3 linked regions of the Drosophila melanogaster genome follow. The protein of the gene in region 1 purifies or fractionates together with the protein of each later gene. This does not show direct contact. Each region holds a gene or a part of one and is shown in the gene's direction. Other genes may lie near its edges.

Region 1 (7,498 bases):
AGCAAACAAACAAAGCAAACGAGTGCCAGCAATTTCCACTCACTTTCTATCTATCATTCGGGGGAGATTTGGATCTTGAGCCGACTTTCCCTCATACTTGTAGTTCGCAGCCGCAATCCCCTTGGTGGTTCAGTGTAATTTAGATTTATGCGCCCCGCGGATGTCTTCACCCCTCTCGTGCACAGTGAGAAAAGAGGGTGAGTTCTAGTGGCCATAGTTCAACAATAATAAATAGCTTGATATTTATTTAGTAAATGAACAGATGATAGTTATGACCATAAGTTAGTCATAATCAAATTGTTACCTATATACCTATACTGAGTTCCTTCAATATTCCCATCGATAGATAGCGTACCCCCTTTTTCTTCGAGTGCAGCTTATCCGGGAATCTCGCATCGGAGTCCATCTATGGAGAGTCAAGCCGCATTTCGCGTTGATTATGCTTGATTTATATGACAGGCCAGCCTTCGAGCAAAAGACCTTGCCATGAGGGTTGTCGCCGGGAGAGATGTTGCCCCGGGAGATGTGTTAATCCATCGCAGCTAGAACTAGGACTCCGTGGGCTTCCCATATCGCTCGGTGACTTTTGACTTTGGTTCCGTTTTAATTGAGCGCCAAAGCACGGCTGTCCGGGGCACGCCCCCATAAATCAAGCGGCCAGTCGGCCTGTCGGCCTGTGAGTTATTCACTCAGCCACAATGTCCAGCTGTCAATCATTCAAGCAGCTTGCTGCGTAAAAAAGGAAACGACAATTTAACGGCAGTCAAGTGGCGCACATCAAACATACCCTGGAAATAGCGGGGTCTCGGTCCGATTAGGGGGCCATCCTTTTAAGGGAAACTTCATTAGACCAGAAAACTCTGGCTGCCCCAGGGCCAAAACGGCAGGCACTTTTAATGAGTGCCTCGAACAGATTCAACCCATGGAGGCCATGGAAATGGCAGTGGGGAAGGGAAAAGGCACGTGACATGACAGTGGGAGATTTTCTTTATTTCCAGCTTCAAGCTACGAGCCTGCTGGTGATGATTTTTCGGCTTGTGAGACATGGGAAGTTGTTGAAATCTTGTGATGCATTAAAATTTGCAAGTTTTGACTTTGTTTGTGTGTGTGGGAGAGTCCTGTGTCTGAGTGCGTGTGAGTGACAGTTGTGTGTCAGTGGCACGCTTTTCCAGCTTTCGGGACACATACACATACACACACACACAGTGGCATTTTATGCAAATGTCGCTTTTCTGCGTAGCTGCCTCGCTTTTTAATGAGCACACACACAACCCGACAAAAGGATGGCACACAACCGCATTAGTTGATTGTGTGTGTGTCTTATCCTCTTTCTCTCCTTTTGAGTGCGCGTGTGTGTGTGTGCCGAGTCCTGCGACTGTGAAGCAATTAAAATGAAATAAGCTAGGTTTTTTCACTCGGCAAACAAATTTCCACTGCAAGACAAATGCACAAATGTCATAGCCACACCGAAAAGAAATATCTGAAATGATGATTAATTTACAGCAAATTTAATTTGGGGAAAGTTTTGGAAAGCTTCTAATTGAAAAATATAAATAATATGTGTCATTTTCTAAATGGAATTAAAATTTTTGGGGTGAAAACGTATTGCATTTCAGTTACATGTATATTTTGTATGAAAATTGAAACTAAAAGTGAGTTAGTGGAGCATTTGGGGTGCGAGCACGTGCCAATTAGCCATCGTGACCCAATGAAACTTCCTTTATGGGGTTCCTTCGGTTAAAAGCCAGCCCATTAGTCACTCAATCAGCTGGCATCAAGTATTGCTTTAAAAGCATTTGCAATGCTCCCATGCCACTTGCCTGCATTGCATTTGTTATGCCCTTGTTATCCTTGATCCTATTTGCGCTTTTCTTTTCTTTTCTTTTCCTATGCCATTTTCTTTCTATTTTCTAACATTTCTGCTTCTGCAGTGGCCATACAATACGAGTGCGTCATGTGCATAGGTGTGAAGGTTGCCGCGGGCGAGCAGCTGAAGCTGCAACATCAACGTTGCTGCATAAAAGGCTAATGCCCCGGGAAAAGTGGAGGCCGAGCTGCCATCGAAGTGCCCTGGGTGGCTTGGTGGCTTAGAGGTGCAACAGCTTGGCAGGTGCAACTGCATTACCATGCGACAATCTGTTCCCATTTCCCAACAGTGGCGAATATTTTTATGGCCAGCCGGAAGCTGAGTTCACTGAGTTCACAAGTTTTGGAAAAAAGTTGTATTTAAAATAAGCTAGTTGAATTTATTTTATTATAGTTTTCAGTTTCATTTATAATTAAAAAAGAAAGCAAGAACATAACAAGAGAAAGGATGTATATTAATTGAATTTGAAATTTAACTTCTAAAAATATGAACCAATTATATTCAATAAACTTTTCTTCTTTATGTGGCAATTTGAAAACATATTCGTGTTTCCTTAGCAAATGTTGCTTTCATCATTGTCCCTCAACACTTAACGAACGCAACAATGCTGCGAGAGAGCGGAATAATGGAATTGTTCTGAAACATTCCTATGTGTTGTAGCAACATGTTGCATGTGCCTAAGGGCAATTGAGTTAAAAGGGGAAATAAGTTCATTTTACCATGGAAAGCTGTAATTGTTCTTATTTTCAATCAACGTATTATTAACCCTAAGTAAATATATTGATTTGCTTATTTGCATACCAGAGTACTTAAGAATTTATTTATTTAATTTATTATTTATATTAATTCATTTAATCGATTTTACAACTCCTAGAATTGAAACAGGATGCCATGCATGCATACATTTCTTAAGCGTCTAAAGCGTGTCACACGCCCAATTAAAATTAACCAATAATGGCTAAGTGCATCATTACCCACAGCTTACGACAGATCAAAGCCCGAACAAAATTGAGCAATTCAAGCAGCAAAACCACCGGGCGATAGTAAATGCTCAAAGGCCATTGATAATCCTTCGCCAGGACGACAACAAAAGCTTGTTCATGCCCCTAACCGGGGGATAACTCAATTATGTGGTAAGTTATGGACACGATTCGAACGACGGCGGAGTGGAGGGTGGCCAGAGTTGACCTAGGCTGACCCCCAAGGAGGGATAAAGCCTTTTGGGCACTTTGCTGTCAAATTAGTGCCTAGTTCGGTCCGCATAATTGGCCCAGCCGAAAGTTTTTACACGCAGCCATAAAAGATTTATGGAAATTATGCATGTGTTTTTTGTTTATCCTGTCTGGGCAAAGAGGGGGGGGGACTTATGAGCGGTGCCAATAAATCACATGGCGAGTGGCCCATTAATTGGCTGCAAGCGCGCCCGAGAGCCAAAACAACACTCGACCAGTTGCCAAAGGTCACGTCCTGGCCGCATGTTGCACGAGGACTCGCACGAGCAACATGCGGCACGAGAGAGCGCGGCAGGACTCGTGATCCGAAGCTCGTCGCCGTCCGAAGTGAAAAATCGTGAATGATATGCGGCATGTGTTGCTACCCCGTAGCAGCAGCAGCGAGCAGCAACGAGCGGCAGCAACAACATGCAGCAGCAGCAGCAGCAGCAGCCGAGCAGCGGCAGCTGCGAATGTTGTTTAGTTCTTATCCGTGGCTCACAGCGTTTGGTTCGTCGTGCGGGTGCTGCTCTATATATCGATAGCGTGTTTGGCTACATATATCTGTGCCATTGCTGGCGCTTGCCACTATTGCCACCACTACTCAGCAGGGATTGCGATTCTCTAGACAGTGTGTTTTGAATTCTTTTGGCCCTGGCCAACTTGCAATTTATGTGGCTAATTAGAGGAATAGGAGGCGGCGGCGGACCATTTGTGCGTGACTCTCGAGCGCCGTAAGTGCTGCGCATCGTTTACGTTTCGTGTGCCGCGCCCCTACCGCCCACCAGAAACAACAACGACAACAACGAAAAAAAAAGAAGAAACGAATTAACACAACGTGCCGGAAAAATAATAATACACTCAAGTTATCAAAACACTTGAAGAGAACTGGAAAAAGCGAAGTTCGAAATAACTGCAGTGCAAAAAAAAAAGCGAAAGGAAATCGAAATTTAGGGCAAAAGCGGATTACGAGCAGCAATAACAGCCGAAAGCGGAAAATGCGAATGAAAATGAAACTCCAAGTGCGGGCAAACAAACAGCAAGACTGAAAAGTGAGTTGCGGAAAATTCGTAAAAGTGCGTAGTAGAGCAGATAGAAGGACCCCCGAAGTAAATCATTAAATCATATGGAAATGTGAACGCGTCACTCTGCCTCATTAACGATTTCCCATTTTCGATTTTCCATTTCCCAATCAACCAACAATACCAATACCGCACTCCAGCTGCGTGCGGATCATCAATTAATTCCAGTCAGTTTTCGCACTTTAAGCGCCAAAAAAAGCAGCAATAAAAAGGAGTATTCCCACACAAAGAGAGCGCACAAATTAATGACACAATAACACACTGCGGTTTCATTTGTAGTGGTCAGTATATATATGAGTATATCAGTGTGTGTGTGTGTGAGAGTGGGCGCAACAGTTCGTCGGCCGTACAGCCTGCCCCCTTCGGTTTTGATTATGATTCCCATCTGATATGAAACGATCCAATCCGATCGGTCGCGTGGCATATAATTTATCACAATTGCCATCGTCTGGCGGGGCAAAGTGAAAGTGCATCGGAGCATCCGCAAGATACAAAGATAGTAGATACAAGATACAAATTGCTTATGCAGACATCTTTGCAAATACGGGTCAGTGCATTGGAACAATAGCTGCGAGCAGCAAAAGTTTTGCTCTCTATCTGTTGGCCAAGCAAAAACATAAATTAAACTTGCCAGTTGGAAGGCCTTGAAAGTTCCTCTGTCCTTTGGATTAGCTAGCCAGGGAAAGCCAAAGAGCAGCCGGGGGTAAGTTGGTCCTTCTGATTTGTAGCCATAAGTCCGTGCTCCGGAAGCTGCGCCTTCAATTCGCAATGCCATTCCATTGCATCCCATCCCATCCAGATCCCAGCCAGCTAGCCAGGATCCACAGACAGCCGGGGTTTGCTTATGGGACAGATTTGTTTGCCTTTCAAATTTTCATCTTTGAGTGGAATGCTGTTGTGATGGTCACTTGAGAGCTGAGATTTATGTCGTTGCTATAGGAAAGGAAAACAAATTAGGCCAAGAAAGTCATTAGTTTGGTAGAATTTTTCTTGCTGCTTGTGAATTATATTTTTAGACTATAACATATATTTAGCCAGTTCTTTATTATTACCCAATTAAATTTGGCTTGTTGAATTCACTTCGCTCTTTCCTGACAGTACCGAATCAGATTTCAACTACGGTTTCTTGATAAATCCATTACTAAAAACGTTAAATCTACTTCCTGCTCCCCACTCACTCCACTCGTCATTTTTTTAGCGGCATATTTTTTGCGAGCTGAGCAACCTTGGCAACAATCCAGTGAAATCCTTGCATGAATTTCGCTAAGCGCCTCTTGCCGCCTTGCATCCAACATGGGAGTTTTCCATGTGCGTGGCCCCATTCTTGGATTCCTGGCTACTGCCCCATATGGTGGCACACATAAAAAGCAAATCACAAAATCCACTGCGCAGCTCCGTTTCCAACCAGTGGCAAAATATAAGAGGGAATAATAAGCTCTCATATAAACGCTACAGCCGCAGGATATTTGCAAAGCCAACAGCCCTCCTACCAGGATCCCGATCCTGATCCTGAGCCAGTGTCGGCACGTATATACGCCATATGCCATATATGTATATGCTAGCCTGTCCAGAGAGTTCGGCTTCATTAAAGCAAATAGAAGCCCAGAGCATATACATATGTATGTACATATATGGTATAAAGCGAACTCAAAATCACCCACACAAAGTTGAAAATACGAACAAAGCGAAACAAAACCAAGCGAAGCGGAGCGTGGCAAAAATTGCGAACAGAAAGTTTTGGGGCAGCAGCATGAGAAGGAATTAAATTTAGGTAAATGCATTGAAGGAATTCAATTTTAAACAAAATGCTGCTAGCGTCACACAAGCGTCAGTTCCGCATGAAATGTGTACTATGTGCAAATATGTGAGCGGGAAAAGGGAAATGGTGGGAGTGGGAAAAGCGTTGGCATCGCTGCTGCAGAACGGCTGCCAAACAATAAAACTTTCAATACATATTTTATTTGACTTTATGCTGCAATTTTATGCATAATAAATCCTGCAGCCCGAACAATTGCTTCACACCTCGAGGGCTTCGTCAAAATGGATAAATATTATGGATAAATACAATCAGGATGGCAACCGAAAGTAGAAAACATTCAGCGAGCGACTTGTGCATAATGAAGAGACTCCTGCATGCAGGATAAGCGAATGGCAACGCTTTTGGCGATAACCATTTTGGAAATTCCATTTAGCCCGCAATAAAATAAATCCAGTTTGAGCCGAGTTCGCCAGCTGACACCGCTCGGGATCACGACGCATGGCGTTCGGGGCATTTGGGAAATAGATGAAAATGAATCCTGGCACATTTTCCAATTAACGAAATTTACAAAATGCCAACGCGCCTCGGCTAAGCCGTGCAATTAAAAAGCTGGAGCACGTAGAGTGCAACGTGGGCGGCTAAGCTGAGTGGGAAAATTGAGCGAGTGGTGGGTGGCTGGTTGTGCGAGTCGGTTTTCCAGGTGCAGCGGAAAATGTCGTCGCTCACCACCCGCCCCTCTCCCTTTCGCCAACCGCACGTAGTATGCAAATTATTGCAAATTATCGGCGTAAATTGCATTTGCCTTTAATGAGTAGAGAGTGTCTGGAGCTGCAGAGCTTCGCCTTCGCAGCTCCGACTTAGAGTTCAATTATGCTTCCGCATCTTGGTTTTCGCCACTGTTTGCATTTCATTTCACAGCGAATCGCCCCCACGTGCTGATTTATGTATTTTGCCCCGACTTTGCATATTTACATTGTATCTATTTCCACGAGCCGTATCTGCCGGATGATGGGTAGGCTTCGATTTTATTTGCGTGTTGTCACGTCGCAGCTTTCGAGCAATCGTCGCCCTTGCGGCCGGCGAATGTGGAAAATCCCCTCCACGGATATTTGTAATTCTAATGCCGCCAAAGTGCTCGTCGTGATTTGCATACGCATCGATATCAATGGTCCTGGGCTTTTCGTGGGCTCCAGCTCCAGACTTTCGTTGACCTTACACGTCTCAATTGCAGTTGGATCTGGCATTCCTTGACCCCGCTTCCAAAACTCAAGTGTCTGGATGGCGATGGACTTGTTCTAGGCTCGGGCACCTCTTATCCCATAATGCTAATTGCCTTTGCTCGGCTAATTGCCGGCAATTCTGGTCTGCTTTCGATCTCAATGCGCCGTTGTCCGCGGCTGTGCCATAATTTATCAATTTGCTCGGGCTGCCTTTGTAAACGAGACAAATGAGGCGAGCCGGGAAAAACGAGCTTATCTCATGTCAAACACACTTAAGCAGAGGAAAAGCCCTCCCCCCCCCCCCCGGTGGGAAAATCTCGTGTAGGTTGCTTGTAAATTTTTATTGGCCCTTAATGCAA
Region 2 (7,878 bases), about 10 Mb from region 1:
GGCGTTGGCTTTATTCCGGCAATTGTCTGAGACAGTAACCTCGCACAGACACAGACACGCGGATGTGTGTTTTGCAGGGGGGGTGTACTGTACAGCCAACTCTTGAGCCGCTGTCATTGTCAATGTCTCCAGACAAATGCGCTCGAGATGCCTGAAATGGGGTAACAAGCGGATGGGTTTGAGTGCCCAGGCCATTCAGTGCCATGCCACGCTTTTCCAAAAAATGGGGAACAATAATTTTCGTGAAAAGTGGGTGATGGTGGGCTGGACTGGCTGGCTGCCTGGCTTTTCCCACGCTAATTCGCTGCACGCGCAATGCTAATCTGCTTTTAATTAAAACCAACTCGCACAGGCAAATGTCTAAGAGGCTTCCTGCCTTCAGTTAGCTAATTGTCTTTTGTCATTTGTCTTTTTGGCCAAAATATGCCAGCGACAAGCGACAGTGGCTTACAGCCACAGTTACATATGTGGCAATTCACTCGTCCCAAACGACAATTACAATACAAATGTTTCTCGTCCTGACGACATTGACTGTTTTAGTTTGGGCTGCAGAGGTTAAACTCAATAAGTGTATCAGAGCTAATTAAAATGAATAGAATTAAATACAGTGACAAGGGAAACAGGGAATTCAGATGGAGGAAGGCAAAGCCGCTTGTTTTTGGTTTCATTTCAACCTTATTTTTGTAGGCCGGATACAATTGGCATACACTTATTGTTGATTGTCACATATTTTATAAATTAAGCGTTGGAATGCGCCAACAGCGCTAATTTTTCAAAATATCCAAAATTATAAATGCAACGTAATTGCATTTGGTATTAGTTTTTTGCCTAGGTTCACAGTTCTTTTGTAGTTTTTCATATATGTAAGTTATTACTAATTATAAAAGAGTTTGAGAACCAAGTTCGATTTAAAATATTTATAATAAATACACTGACGGTGACAGAACATTAGTTGCAAAAGCTATGAACGCAGACCACAATTGCGTTTTTCGGCTTTTAACCTTTTAATGGCATGTTATAAATAAATTGTAAAATCACCTTCCTGTCCATAGTGTTTCGCAGTAAAGATAAATGCCAAAATATTAGGCAAAATCAATCAAATTGTAAAATCATTTAGGCACAAAAAAGTCGAAAGCAGCACAAGCATATAAAATATGTCAAACACAATTAATTATAAAATTCATAAAACAAAGCCACAGGCATAAAAACAACAATGTTGGCCATAAAAGCGTCAGAGAGGGGAAAATGCATGAAAAATGCGACAGACAAAATTATCATTCATAATAATTTGTACAAACAAACGGGGATGAGCTGGGGAAAAGTGGGGAAAAGGAAAATGTTTGCAACTGTAGCCTAGGTAAACAAAAGAACTGGGAGGGAAAGCGATGGGGCAATAGAATGTTTCACGCCGAGCCAACAATTACAAAAAATGATGTTTTATTTAAAATACCAGACAGGGGCTTTCTCGCTACAGGGAAGAGTAGCGATGGGGGAAGGGGAAGTTGGTGGAAACAGACAGGGAATAAAAATAACAATGCAACAGCAGTGATAATGTTGCCGGCAACACATGTTTACAGCAGCCAGAAAGAACCGCAGATACAACAACAACGGCTGGCAGCAGACTCAAAATCATCTCATTCCATTCCCTTCCCCTTTCAACCCATCGCTCAACCAGAAAATGTCAGACGCCTGTGCACACATTTTAATCAATAAACAAACGTGAAAATATGACAAACAAATTAATAAAATGCAGCAACGCCGGCCAGACAATGACAAAATATTATAAATGAATCGGAGGGCACTTCGGTATGAGTACGAGTGGGAAAAGTGGAGGAAAGTGCCGTGGAAAAAACAGGGGGGAAACGGTCTATATATAGAGCCGCAACATCCATCCCTTTCGCACCCGCCTCTCGACTAATTGTGACAATTCGGTCTCACACAAATGGCATAATAAATGTTGAGCAGAGGAAATGATGTGTGAAGTGCAGGCCTATATCCCCCTTAACCCACCGCTGGGCTTAACCCACTGCTACCCCTGCCCCACCCACCAATCAATGACCAAGCGGAAGTGATTTTTGGTTTCAGCGCACGATTTTCCGTCAGCTGGAAATGCATGGAACAATGCTGATGCTGCCCCAGCAATTAGCCAAACTTTGCATACACTGAGAGAAAAGCATGTTAGTAGAAGCAAACGGTAACAGGGTAAATAATAGTTGCAGAGGTTATACATTTTCTTCTTCCTAGAATGTTATGTTATCATTGCAAATATAGCTCTGTTAATTGAAAACACATCAACATGTTACTTATAAAATTATGTTATTGGAGTTTACATTAATAATAGTCATCAGTTAACTTTAGTTTACATCGAAAAGCGATTAATAAAACACTATAGAAAGTAATAGGAAATTTAGGTAGTGGCCCTTTTCTCTACGTGCGCCTTGGACAAAATGCCCTTCTTTGTTTTTGAAACAATTGGTGAACAATGCCAAAACAGGAAGCGGAGCAGAGAAGAACTCTTTTTTTTTTTGGATGGTGAGGGGCATGCTCGTAGTTTGAAGGACTGGTGGCAAATGTGCGGCTTCCTGCATTGAAGCGCATAATTGAGCATTGGGGAAAGTCGTAAATAATGCAAAACCCGATTGCTGGCGGCCGGCGAAATAACCAAATCCAAATTGGATGCCTTCGAGTGGACGGCCTGCTAATTAGTCCCCCGCCGATTGGGGAAAGGTCATTGGGCAGGGTGGGGTCGCGATACTTTGCTATCTCGGGTCCCTGAACGCATAAATCAATCCGGAAAAGGGTCGCGGCACGTGACGATCGCTGGAATTTTTATTTGTAACTTTGTGCACTTTACGAGACAGCAATAAAATTAATATTTCTGCCTGTGTCAACAACTAATTGAGGCATTTTCCTCCGTCTTCTTCCAGACATTGCAGTTCGTAGTTTTGGAGCAGCATATGAAGTAATTAGGAGGCGCACTAAAATCCCCCATAAACGTCAAAAGACAAACATTTTCGCGGAAGAACAACTGCAAGACAACAGCCATCGACGTTTTCCAGGCAACATGTTGCCGAGCGACAGCAGCGGCGGCGAAAGCAACATCAACATCAACTGACGGCAGCAACACCAACGGACAGCAGCAACATTCGAGCATTCAGTCGCAATTCTGACGATTGCGTGACGCGTTCGCATCGCGGCGATGAAAGAGACAGAATATCTCGCGAGGAAAGAGATCGAAATAGTGGCGGGCATAAAGTTTGAGTTTGACGTGCAAAATATAAATGAAAATTCACAAACAACTAATCGAAATACGTAATAAAGTGTGTGCCAACTCTGAGAAATATTTGAAAAATATATTCGTATAAATTACCAACGAACCACGGACACAAGCGGTCTGTCTCTGGGAATAATATAAATTAGCATAATTTAGCAAGGATTTGCCGAGACAAGCAGACATTCGTTTCGCACTTAATTAGTGTCCAAGCGCGTTGACAATGTGGCAGACACTATCAACTTTTAGCACATCACTCAGAGCAGCAGCAGCAGCAGTGGCAGCACAACCAGCAGCAACTTGCAACTGTAGCTGCAAGCTGGAAAACGCGGAAATGCACAGTCACATGTTGCCATCAGCAGAGATTGCGACAACGGCAGTGCGTAGGTGTTGCTGTCGCACAAAAATCACCCGCAGCAACAGCAGCAACTATAGTTGCAACTACGGCAGCAACGTGATCCAGTGGCTACTGCTACTGTGCCTTTTCTGTGGTAAGTACATATGTATGTAGGTAGGTGGTGGAAGGCGGCAAATGAGCCATGGTCGAGTGCAGTAAGTGACTTTTAACAAAACGCGCTTAAATGTCTCTGATTTAGTGCGCCACGCCCCCAGGGCAAAACTCGCACAAAAAACGCTGGGGATAAAGTGGAGAAGACAAACCGCCAAACCAAAGTGATATAGAGATGTGCTGAATAAAAAAAAGTGCTGCAGTTTTAGCCCTTGAAAAAGATATACACGGGGGGAGTCGGAAAAAAATAAATAAAAACGCTCAACACAAATCAAGATGAATTTCCGTGCATTTTTGTGCAGATTTCTGTACAGCTTTACCAAAAAAAAAATAAAAGGAAAAAAAAAGTAGAAGGGAGAGGAAAAACAGCAGAGACAAACACACATGGGCAGTCGGAAAAAAGGAAACCAACACACAAAGCTTGCTTTTGGGTTCTTTTTTCGCTCCAACTGCTACAGCAGCAAAAAATGGCTAAACAGCAAAGAAAAACATTTGAAAATAGCGCCAAGAAATGGAAGAAGATTAAATGGCAGTCGAGTTTGGGTGAGGGGGTGTTGGAAAATGTCGGGCGGTACGTCAGCGCAATATAAATTGACTCGTGTTTTTCATTTAAACGTTTTTGCCCCTCCCCCTACGTCCCATACGTTCCATTCGCTTTTTGCTTGGCTTCAATAATTCGACTGCAGCAGCTGCAGTTGCTGCCACTTAAACCTGAAATTAACTTTGGCCCACGAAAGTATGCAGCGAAGGAACATGGCAAATCGGGCTACGTGAGCCGGCCATACACGAATGTGCTGCACTGTACCGTCTGCACTTGTGGCTCTGCTTTTTTTCGTGGCCAGCCCTCTTGCCCATCCTCCGTGGTCCTCCTGTATGGCTTGATTATTTCGTTTGGAATTGATGCTGCCATCAATTATAGAAAACCACAAAGAGAAGCAAGACAGCAGGATGGGAAAAATGGATCCGGTTAGCAAGGCAGCGGAGTCTGATGCGAGTACATTGAGCGAAAAGGGGGGACACTGCTTAAGAACCTAAGATATTTAATATTCAGCAATGCACTGCTTTTATCTAATTAATCTAATAGATATTACATATATTAGCCATAGAAAAAGCGCATCTTAAGTGATTAGACATAAACTACATTTTCCGTGAGCCAGAAACCCGATGTTCGTTATCAAAACTTGGCTTCGATTTAATCTAGATCTAGAATTTTCCTCTTAAACCGCATTTCCCGCTCAGTGTGGACCAAGAGTAATGGACAGCTTGCAATTGAGTTTCCATTGCCGCTGGCTGATTGGTTGGTCGGATGGCTTTAAAGCCAACGCTTTGTAATCGATGGCCCCGCAAAAGCGCTGGCCAATGCTAAAATAAACCGAAATCAATTTGGTTAAGCCCCCCCGACGAGCAGGCAGTCCGACCGCCCACTTAACTAATCAGGATAAATAAATATTTATAATTAATTTAAAATATAAACAGCACTCAGCCCGAGCAGCGCAATTAATTTCGGCTAGTTTCGGTGGCCATGATTGGAATATCAGCGAGGAAGGACGAGTCCTTAGAACCGAAAGTGGAAAGTTTAATTTTGATAACAAGGCAAACAAGCAAAGTTCTCAACGCCCAAGATTCAGGCATATGAATAAATGACTGAATGCATGAATAAGCAATCAACAATAATGGCCCCAAGATGCGGAATCAGGCTTTAAGGAGTGGCTGGTGAATGGAAGGTGAGATGGGGATATTATGAAAATATATGCACAGCTCAGGGGCGAGGACTCCAGCGTCCAACATCCAGGACGCAACTGGCCATGGTCAAGTGCCTGAAGGTGCGAACGGGATGCCCAGCTAATGAGCCAAGTCATCAGGTGTCGACGCAATGGAGTGGGTGCTGGGTGTTGAGCAAGGTGACCCAACGGGGTTGGTGGAAAATGAAGGGAAATGGAAAATGCGTGAGCCTGCGCGTGCTTAATGAACTGCAATCAATGGACACTGCCAGTCGATAAGAAAACCGAAAGGCGTCAGATTGTGCGTGCAACATGGTGGTGACCGCAATTGCAAACAATCGACGAAACGAACACTTGCCGAAAATTAGTACAGTCCCAATACATTTCAAGATAGAATATGGTTCACTTTTCATTAAAATATAAACTAATTTCCGCTTTAAGAGCGACTTAATTGCAATTGAACATTATGCACCTATTTTAGACATGTTAACTGTATCTAAAACGCAGTGATATTTTCACTTAGGCCGATTGCAGGGCAGACAAATTGATAGCTAGTGATTTACAGAATCCCTGCCGAGATTTCCGCATTAATTACGCACATTTTGTGGAAATTTATTTAAGCACCGCAAAACATTAAAGGGGATGCACACGGTGGGGCATGGGGGGAAGCAGGGACATGGCTCACACCCTTTTGCTTGCGTGAATCGGTTTTGGGCGTGAAATTGCTTTCAACATTTAATTACAAAAGGTTCGTGCGGTGGTTTATTTCTGGCTCATCACCGCACTTTCATCGGACCGAATTCCCAACGCTATTCGCTGCAATTTGTTATCAGAACCCAAACACGCACCTCACCTGCGGAATGGCTGTCTTTGTTTACCTGGACGTGTGTGTCTGATGTTTGGGGATAAAATAAGGGATTAGTCCAAAAGGAGGCAACTTGTGTGTGCCGGGCAATTAGCCACAAAATCAATTTTACACAAAACAGCCGAGGTAATCAACGCCTTGAGCTCGAAACAAAGCGAATAATTCCGATCGGTTAGAGCCATTATCGATTGAAGCCTCTCAAGGTGCTTTCATTAAATTAAACTACACACATGTGTGAACAGAATAATAAACCACAAAAAGAGAAGCATAAACTATAATACTACAAGTATATTGTCAGCAATAATGGTAGCAGCATGGAGCCTTTTCTCCGGCTTTGTGCGCCAACTGTGTGATATAAAATATAATTGAATTGATATGACATGAGGCAATCGAAGTGGCATCTCCTACAGGCCCAAACAACAATGGTCGCCCACATGGCTGACATTCATTTTTATGTTTATTGGCCGCATGCAAATACCAAGCTCAAAAGTCGAAGATAAAAGTCCCACATATGCATGTATAGTTAAAGAAGATACGAACTCGTAACTGATGGCACAAGGCCTTACTCGAATGCAGAAATACATTTATAAAACGGGACGAACAGGAAGTAAATGAAGTATATCCGCGCTGAGGAATCAGATTTTGGTCAAAATTATTCATAAAATTATTTAATATTCTCTACACTCAGTTCGAAAACAAAAACATTACCACTTGTGATTGAATTATCTTCCGAAAATATGAATCATAACTAATCACAATTCAAGCATTTCCCTAATCCACATTATCGAGAAAAACATTGTTATGAACGTTCTCTGCTCGCTCCGCAAATATAATTTGTAATGACGAGTTTGAGTCCATTAAAATCCTCTAAAAGTATTCAGACACAGTGCTCACTGCTGGAATTAGCAATAAATGTTGGCCAAAAATGTTAGTTGAATGGCAAGTTTTCATAACGCATAAAAACTATAAAAACTTTTCAGCATTTCAATTCATAATTCAACACATAATTATATCATGCCGGCTTTGTCCATCGCCTGTATCTCCCTCTCTCTCAAACTTTAGCGCCCTCTCTTTCGCTCTTTTTCGGACAGTGGGTCGAGCGAAATATGTCAGAAACTTTTCAAAACTGTAACAGCGCCAATTTGTCTACAAAAACGTTGACCGTAGACCACTCCACAAACCCCTAAAACATTTGGCCATCCACTTCAAATGTAATTTCAACGCCAATTTGGCTGTGTAAAATTTATGCAAATATTTCTATGCTCTCTCTCTCTCTCTCTCCATCTCACTCTCTTTCTAATATATACCGTTGTAGTTGCTTATGCATTATGCTAAATAATTGCGAGCATTTTTTGCTCGTGGCAAAAGTTATACGTTATTGCTGGGGCTTTTTAGTATTTTGTGCAGCTGAAATATTGCGTTAATTATCGCGAAATGCCACAGAAAATATATTTTGAAACACACACACACATACATACGTACATATTTTGGCCCAAAGGCGTCTGTATCTGTT
Region 3 (7,490 bases), about 10 Mb from region 1:
GTCTCCCGTTCTCGCCCTTTCTCTTTCTCTCGCTCGCTTGTCAAAGTGGTTGTGGGTGGTGGCATCATATTTTTATTCACTTCACTGAAGAAAAGTGCATTGTGCAAAAGTGAAAATATAAACATATACACTCTTTTGAAATCAAACTATTTTTTAGATAATGAACTTATTATATCAGGTACTTCAATACTATTTCAGTAATCTAATTTGCTTAAACTTTCAACGTTATAGAGATAGATTAATTCTCGGAACCCAAGGCTCGGAATTTTCCAGCAGTGCTGTTTTCCGCTTTATATGTGAAACGTTTTTACATTTGGTTTTTTATTGCTCTGCTGCCTTTTGCCTTTGCACTGTGCTCCCCCGTTTTTGTAGTCATGTTGTTGTTTTTCCGCTGGCTTGCTACTGAGCTTGTTTCTTGGAAAATAATGACTGCACATTAAGTGTCTGCACACACACACATGCTGGGAGGACAAGGCAAGTAAAATGTCAACAAATGACAACAGAAATATGATGCAAATGGCTCATGTAAGTGGTTCTTGCCGCCAACATTTATAAAACAGGACAACTTACAATGCAACAACAGCAAAGCGGCTAGAAGCGAAAGGAAGCGGCTAGGAGAAAGTGGGAGTTCGTTGAGTGAAGGGGCGTGGCGGCGTCTGTCCGCTGTAAACATTCTCCATTCTACTTGGCAATTTTTCATTTCCCATTTCACTTCGCTATTCAAGTATAATTCGCAGTGCTTAGAAGGGCAAGAGGCGGCGTTTGTTTAATGCTGAAATTAGCTTTTATTCGAGCATCGCGCATACGCCGCGTTGGCCGGAGTCGTTGCCATTGAAATGTTTCAAGAATACCCTCGACTGCAATTAAAAGCGCATTTAATAGAAATTGTTTAAGTGCAATCGCATGCCAAGGGTATCCCAAGAGAAAATAAGTATAGAAAAGTGGATGGGGATTTTGACAGGTGCAATTATTATCTTACCCATAGAGTCTCAAAACTGTTTCATTTTACACAATATACTCTATAGAAAACTATAAAATATATAATCAATTTAAAGGATATATAAGTGCGATATGAATGATATGAACTACTCACATATTTTCTTAGCATTTTATAGGACGTGGAATACATTATATATGCGTACCATTTCTGGAATCTGGGGCTAAATTGGTATCACTTCAATTAAGACCCAGAGCATATGGGGAATGCTATTGCTTTCTCGGACTATGTGGCTAATCAGCGTTATGTGCGTTAAGTCAACAGCCGCATCAACATTATCATCATTATTTGTACAAAATGAAACTGGCCAAAGCCGTAGCCAAATCGAAAGCCAAAGCCAAAGCCGCACACTCACACAATTTGGCAATTTGTGGCGAACAGCGGTCAACAAAAAGCAGTTCGGGCCAAGAACCATCCAGGATGGCAGGCCAGGACCACACTGACATTCGGTCAGTCTGTCAGTCAGTCAGGCAGGCAGCCAGTTGGTTGAATTTGGATGGTGCTCGTTTTGGTGATGGTTCCGTTCCTGGCCACTCGACTACATTGATATTCCACGCTCGATGCGCGCCGCTGTTGCCATTGGTCATTGAGGCTCACTCATCCTTCGTCTCCACTCCTGGCCACTAACGATAGATGTCCTTAAGCCAGCACACACTCGCACATATTGCTATAAAAAAATATTTATCTATATGGCGATATACGGCCGGACTGCACGGCCATGGCTATGGCTATGGCTATCCGGCGATCCGGGTATCTGGGCAACTTTGTCCAAAAAATGTTGCCGGGGCCGAGCTGCGATGCTTTGTTAACTTTTTCAGTTTAATGAAATCAATTCACAAGTCACGTTGTTGCTGGACAATAAATACATCAGAGTCCATTTAATAAAATCATGATGTGCACTTTGGGATGATACCAGCTCGCCGCACATATATCAACTTTGGGTGGCCATATCGTATCGATTCGTATTCGTATTCGTGTATTGCAAATAACTTTCGGCTCTCATTGGAATGCCGCATATGACATCCCCTGTCCCCCGCAGTTCCTGTTCCTCAATTGCTCGATAAGTGCGCGGCAGTGCTAAAACTTAAATCAAAATCCACATTGAGCCACTGCAGCGTTAGCCTCCGACTCCCCGGCAATTTGTTGCGGATTCTGGCTTGGTTTTCGGTGGTTCATTATATTGATCTGTGACTTGGCTGTTTGCTTTACGTCTTTCGCACAATCATTTTTATTTGAGTGCCCCGAGAACGGCGAACAGAGTTTTTGGTGATTGGGTGGTTGGGGGGCATGGAACTGTTTTATGAGTGCATCGTTCTGGGAAAGGTACTTAATATTGGATATGAGAAACTGCCAGCCATTTTCACTTGCATAATTAATAGTAAATTGGGATTAATATTTCGGAAATTCATTAGCTTGGCAAATTCAAAACATTCTCATTATAAAAATAACGAAATTAAGGCGCTAAAATAGTATGGAACAACTATAAGATGATTCTCACGTTTTTTTGTGGTATGTAATTATAATGCATTAACTTTTCGCACTAAAAGTGCATATGCGAATCTTGATTGCCTTTATATTACTATCTATACGGTTATCAAAAACCAGCTTTTGTTCTGTTACCACTATTTTTTACTGTTTTTATACCTAATCTGCTTCTGCGCACTTCAACAGAAACAGCTGTTAATTTCAAAAGTCTGCTCCCACTATTATCCTCAGACGATGAAGGACCTTTCCCTCGCCCAGATAACTGTTCTACGCTCAGCTGATTCCGAGATTCTCTTCACAGACATAATTCTCTTAACCATGACCATAGGTAACTCAGAAAGGCTTGCACCGAACACGGCGAATTCCAGGGACATTCTCTCTTAGCCGATTCAAAATCACGGCCCAGTGTTATACAATCCGTCCGGAAACGAGAGTCGGAGACCACGAATGCCCACGAATGGAGGCGAGGACGTCGTTCGGGTGACGAAATATGCCGACTCCGATTTCTGGGTGCGTGTACACAGCCTCCGTGCATATCTGATGGCCAGCGAGCAAATCAGTCAGATGCGTGGCGAACGTTGAATTTAACGGTCGGTTTGGCAGTGAAAGTGGAAAGTGGAAGCCATCGCCGTGCTCCACGAGCCTGGCCAGCGAATTGTTTGGTGCGGAAAATAAAAACAAAAATCATAAAAAATAAGAAAAAAATACAAAAACACCCAAGGAAATATGAGAGTGAATGTTAGCCCCATAGAGGAAATACATTAAAGTGCAAAGCTCGCTGATATAATCAAGTTCAAACAATTCGAAGGAAAAGTGCTTAGGTTGAAAAGTGTTCAAACATTGCGTCAGTTAAACTCGAAAAATAAAATCAAGTGATACCACCACGCTTGGAGTTGGAGTCTGCGAATTTGCTGGTAAATTATTCAAGCAAGTTTAATTTTTCGGGGGCATAGGAGTCTTAGATCCTGTGCCGTCATAAAGTTATACAAATTATTGCCATCCTGACTGCCATTTGGTTGGCTTTAAACTTTCGGTTCACGCAGCGTTCGCATTAAATTTCTTATTTTGTTGTTTTTCTGCCTTTTATTTCTTTTCCGCTATTCGCGTGGCACATGCGGCGTATACGCAATGTATCTCCTTCTATTTTATTTGTGTGTATGCGTGAGCTTGTGTATTTGTGTGTGTGTGTATGTGTATAACCTACATTTTTGTGGTCCTCGTTGTTTTTCCACTGACAGACTGACAGTCAGACAATACCAAAAACAGGATCTTGAGTTGGGACCCCGTAACCGTGACTTGCCAGCTGAAAGTTAATTTTATGGATTTACGGCTTTTGTTTGCTCCTTCTAAATACTGACTGATCCACAAGTTGGCGATGCTCTATATCTATATATTAATTTTTTGTAATATGACCGAATAGTTTGTCCGAAAACTTCGTCTCCGTTTGGCGCAGTCCAGCGTTTGTCTTCATCAACTTGGGCTAACTTCTACCAAGTGATTGTTGATTTTGTTTGATTTGCTGTTTTTGTTTTGGTTGTAGCTGTTGGCTTTATTTGATTTTAGTACTTTGGCAGAGTCAACATTCGTTAGCAAAAATTTCGCTCACGTTCCATTCGAGCGAGCTCTCGATTTCATGAGTTTTGGATGCTGCTGGTCCGTGTTTGCTTCTCTGTTCCGCCGCTTAGCCATCACTTCTCTATATCGGAGTACATATATATTCCTATTCCTATTTCAATTTCTGTTCTTTTTTTTTTTGTCTCCAAGTGTCTCTGGATGTTTTTCCCCCTAGTTTGTTTTTTGTTTCTACCGTCACATGCACTGTGCACAGTCAGTGCGAAGTAGACAAATAAATACGAGTACATATAAATCGGGCGCATATATGCGCATTGGTCCGATGTACTTGCTGTGGCGAGTGGAGCTTAGCAGGGCTGTCCTTAAGATTATTTATGCGGTGATTAGCCGCTCTGAATTATTGCTGAAATTATCAAGTGTGCTATAAAATTTCACTGCCATTTATTTGCGCAACTTTTGGCGGGGCTCACGTACTACCAACCAAACGCCCGCCCGATCCCATCCCATTCGATCCGATCCGCCCCATCTCCGTTCACCATTTGCTCCACTTCAGTACGCTTCAAGCGGCGTCGTCTCATGTGTATCGTTGGCTCGTATTCTGCATCGGTTTGGGTTTGGGCTTGGGTTGGATTCCTGGTTCAGATTCGGGTGCTCGGGTGCGTGCGAGGGAGTGTAACAAATTGCCAGAGTTTGATTTTTAAGTGTGAAATATCGCACAACGAAATTGGATTAATTACACTGGGGCCGGTTAGATTGCGTTCGCTTTTAAAGCCAAAACCGTTGGCAAAAAATCATTTCAGATACAAAAATGGAACGCAAGGAAAAGGATTTTAAATGGAATAATCAGAAACTCCCCACCATGAATAAAAAATAGATATATTAATCCTATATACTGATGCAACACTGTGTGCTATAATTAAGTTTAATCAAGTTTAAAGAAACAAGCACTTTTAATTAAAACATCTAGAAAGGTGTTTGCAGAAGTACAACTTATTTATGAGTGGGCTCCAGAACTAATCGTTCATCTCTTGTTCAACATCCAGCTGTGGGCCACTGCTGATTATTCACTTATCTATATTGTTTATGAAGATACCATTTCCCCTGGCGCTGGAGATGAGGGTCCAAAAACTAAACATAAACGGCTTGTAGAGCCAAATAAGGATTATCCTGCCGGGCCGAGGGAAATGAGATTTTACAGGAGCCGCTGGCCCCGCCCACTTTCAACAGCGCCCACTTAGCTGGCAACTAATTGCCTAAGCCCCAACCTGAATCCAAATGAGATGATAAAGCTGGATCTGCGGCCAGTCCGAAGTCTGAGCTCTACTGAGATTAATTACATTTAAATAAACAGGAATGGCTGCAAACATGGCCAAGACCGCAACAGTTACATGAACAATTCAACCGAACAGACAACAATAGACAGTCGACAACTCACTCAACTCCACTCGTCCGGATTCAATTGAATCACTTCCATTGGGCTACTTTAAGCTGATTACATGCAGAGTTTGGCTTGAGATATACATTTTACATAGACTAAATCATTAGCTTTTGTTTTTGCAAAACCAGCAAATTTCACCTACCAGGAAAACGTTGTACATTTGATAAGGGTATCGATGGTGAGAAAATCTACAGTGCTGTTTGAAATATTAGTGGTAAAAGAATTAGTAGCAAAGGATTAGAAGTTAAGGGAAAAAGAATCCTTATCTCAATCTGAATTAAAATTTGGCAGTATTTCCAAGTTTGATTAAGCAAAAATAAAAAGATTCGTGCCTATTATAGCTCTTGACCAACTATAACTCGGGTTTTGGACGCAGCTGTACATGTTATATTTTTGGGTGAATGAAAGTCAAAGCCGAGTTTAATGCCGGACTTAGTGATAGCAATAGCCCTTTGCATATGGCAAATGCCCAATGATTTATGACTGGAACGGGTCGACGCAGTCAGCAGACTTTGTCCCGCTCACAATTGGTGGGGAAAAGCGTGAAAAACTGTCGGCCACATGGAAAATCTCGGTGTGAGTGGGGTAATGTGGGCAGAGCGGCAGAGTAAATTCAATTTTACGTTTCACAACTCAGCATGATTTCTATCAAGCCGGGGGAATCCCCTTTTCCACATTGTGTACCGCAAACTGATTGCTTTCGGTGGTCCCTCGACTGTCGGTGTGTATGTGTGTGTGTGTGTATGTGTGCCTGCGTTTGGGCGACTCTATGTTTGTGTGTGTGTGTAGCCCCAAAAGCGGGCTACATAAAAAAATCACTAAAAACTTGTAAAAGCATCAAAGCGCACTTTCTGAGCTCTCTGCTCGAAAAAGTTGCGCTTGTTCGGCCCATTGTTGTTGTATCCTTAGTGTTTCCTTTACTGCTTATGTTGTTGTTGTTGTTGCTGCTGTCGGCGGAAAGTTGAAAACTTTTCAAGTGAGTTTTGAGGGCGGTTTTTGGGGCTAGCTATTGGCAAAATTGCTTTCTGATAGCTTGGCTGGTGTATTTATGCAGTTTTAATGAGAGCTCCTTGCGAAGAGGTTGTTGTTAATACAGGAAATTAATAAGTTAAGTAGCCATTAGGTGGCTGAGTGCAAAGTTCGATGGCTAAGAGCTGAGATTATGAGCGCTGTGAAGTGCTCGTGAAAAATTATTCATATTCTTATCAACCATTAATACATACTTACCAATTGTTATTTTCGGATTACCTTTCATAAATAAAAACCAACTTGTTTAAATTTCACAATGAATGCGTTTTAGATATTCATGTTGCAAACAAATTTGTACATTTGAATCCTTAGGCATATCCCATTTCAATCCGAATTATTACCTTATTTTCCCAGTGAAGTCTGATATGAAACACGAGTCTGTCCTTTCCCAGAATATTGTTGGTGGGTTTATTTTATTTTTGCGACTGCTGCTTAAGCCGCGTTTTATTTTCACTTGAGGCAAGTGTAGTCATCTGTGAAAATATTGGCAAAACTCAAACAGCGCCAGCATTTGACATAAATCCTTATTATCCCTTTGTGCACAAATTGACATTGCACTTGTAAGGCGATTGCCGAGACTCTGCTTGACATCCCCTTTTTGCTTCCCCTTCTCCCTTTTCCAAAGCCCCCGGATGCCTTTCAACTTTTATCTGTGGCTTTGTTTTCACTGCCAATGCAGTGGGCGTGGCATTAGCAGCATCTGACAACTGCAGGATGCCCTGGCTGTCCTGAAAGCAGCCTCGTCCTTGACAAGTCTTCGCACTTAATTGAGCTTGACACACCGCTGCAGAGAGGAAAATTTAGGAAACATGACTACATATCCGTATATTTTATGTGGAAATAAGGGACAAATCAAACAAAATTGGGATGGATTATCAGTGAGTCCAGATGTTCGCTTTCAGTATAGTATAATTTTATCTCAGTTATGCCTTCCTTAACAGGACTGTTTAGGACACGTTGTCTGATATA

Evidence for each region.
Region 2: the proteins of side (region 1) and beat-IIb purify together in Drosophila melanogaster (affinity purification with western blotting; one large-scale study listed by BioGRID). This does not show direct contact.
Region 3: the proteins of side (region 1) and beat-IIa purify together in Drosophila melanogaster (affinity purification with western blotting; one large-scale study listed by BioGRID). This does not show direct contact.

What each region holds. Positions count from the first base shown.
Region 1 is NT_033777.3:27,433,555-27,441,052, reverse strand, and holds the start of side (sidestep), read left to right. Parts: upstream 1-3,570; 5' UTR 3,571-4,130; exon of another isoform or gene 4,131-4,863; intron 4,864-7,498. Other genes in the region: CG43447 (uncharacterized protein), read right to left, coding at 449-646; CG44290 (uncharacterized protein), read left to right, coding at 148-197, 1,932-2,091.
Region 2 is NT_033777.3:17,243,155-17,251,032, reverse strand, and holds the start of beat-IIb (beaten path IIb), read left to right. Parts: upstream 1-3,155; 5' UTR 3,156-3,494; coding exon 3,495-3,762; intron 3,763-7,878.
Region 3 is NT_033777.3:17,361,672-17,369,161, reverse strand, and holds the start of beat-IIa (beaten path IIa), read left to right. Parts: upstream 1-3,042; 5' UTR 3,043-3,396; intron 3,397-7,490.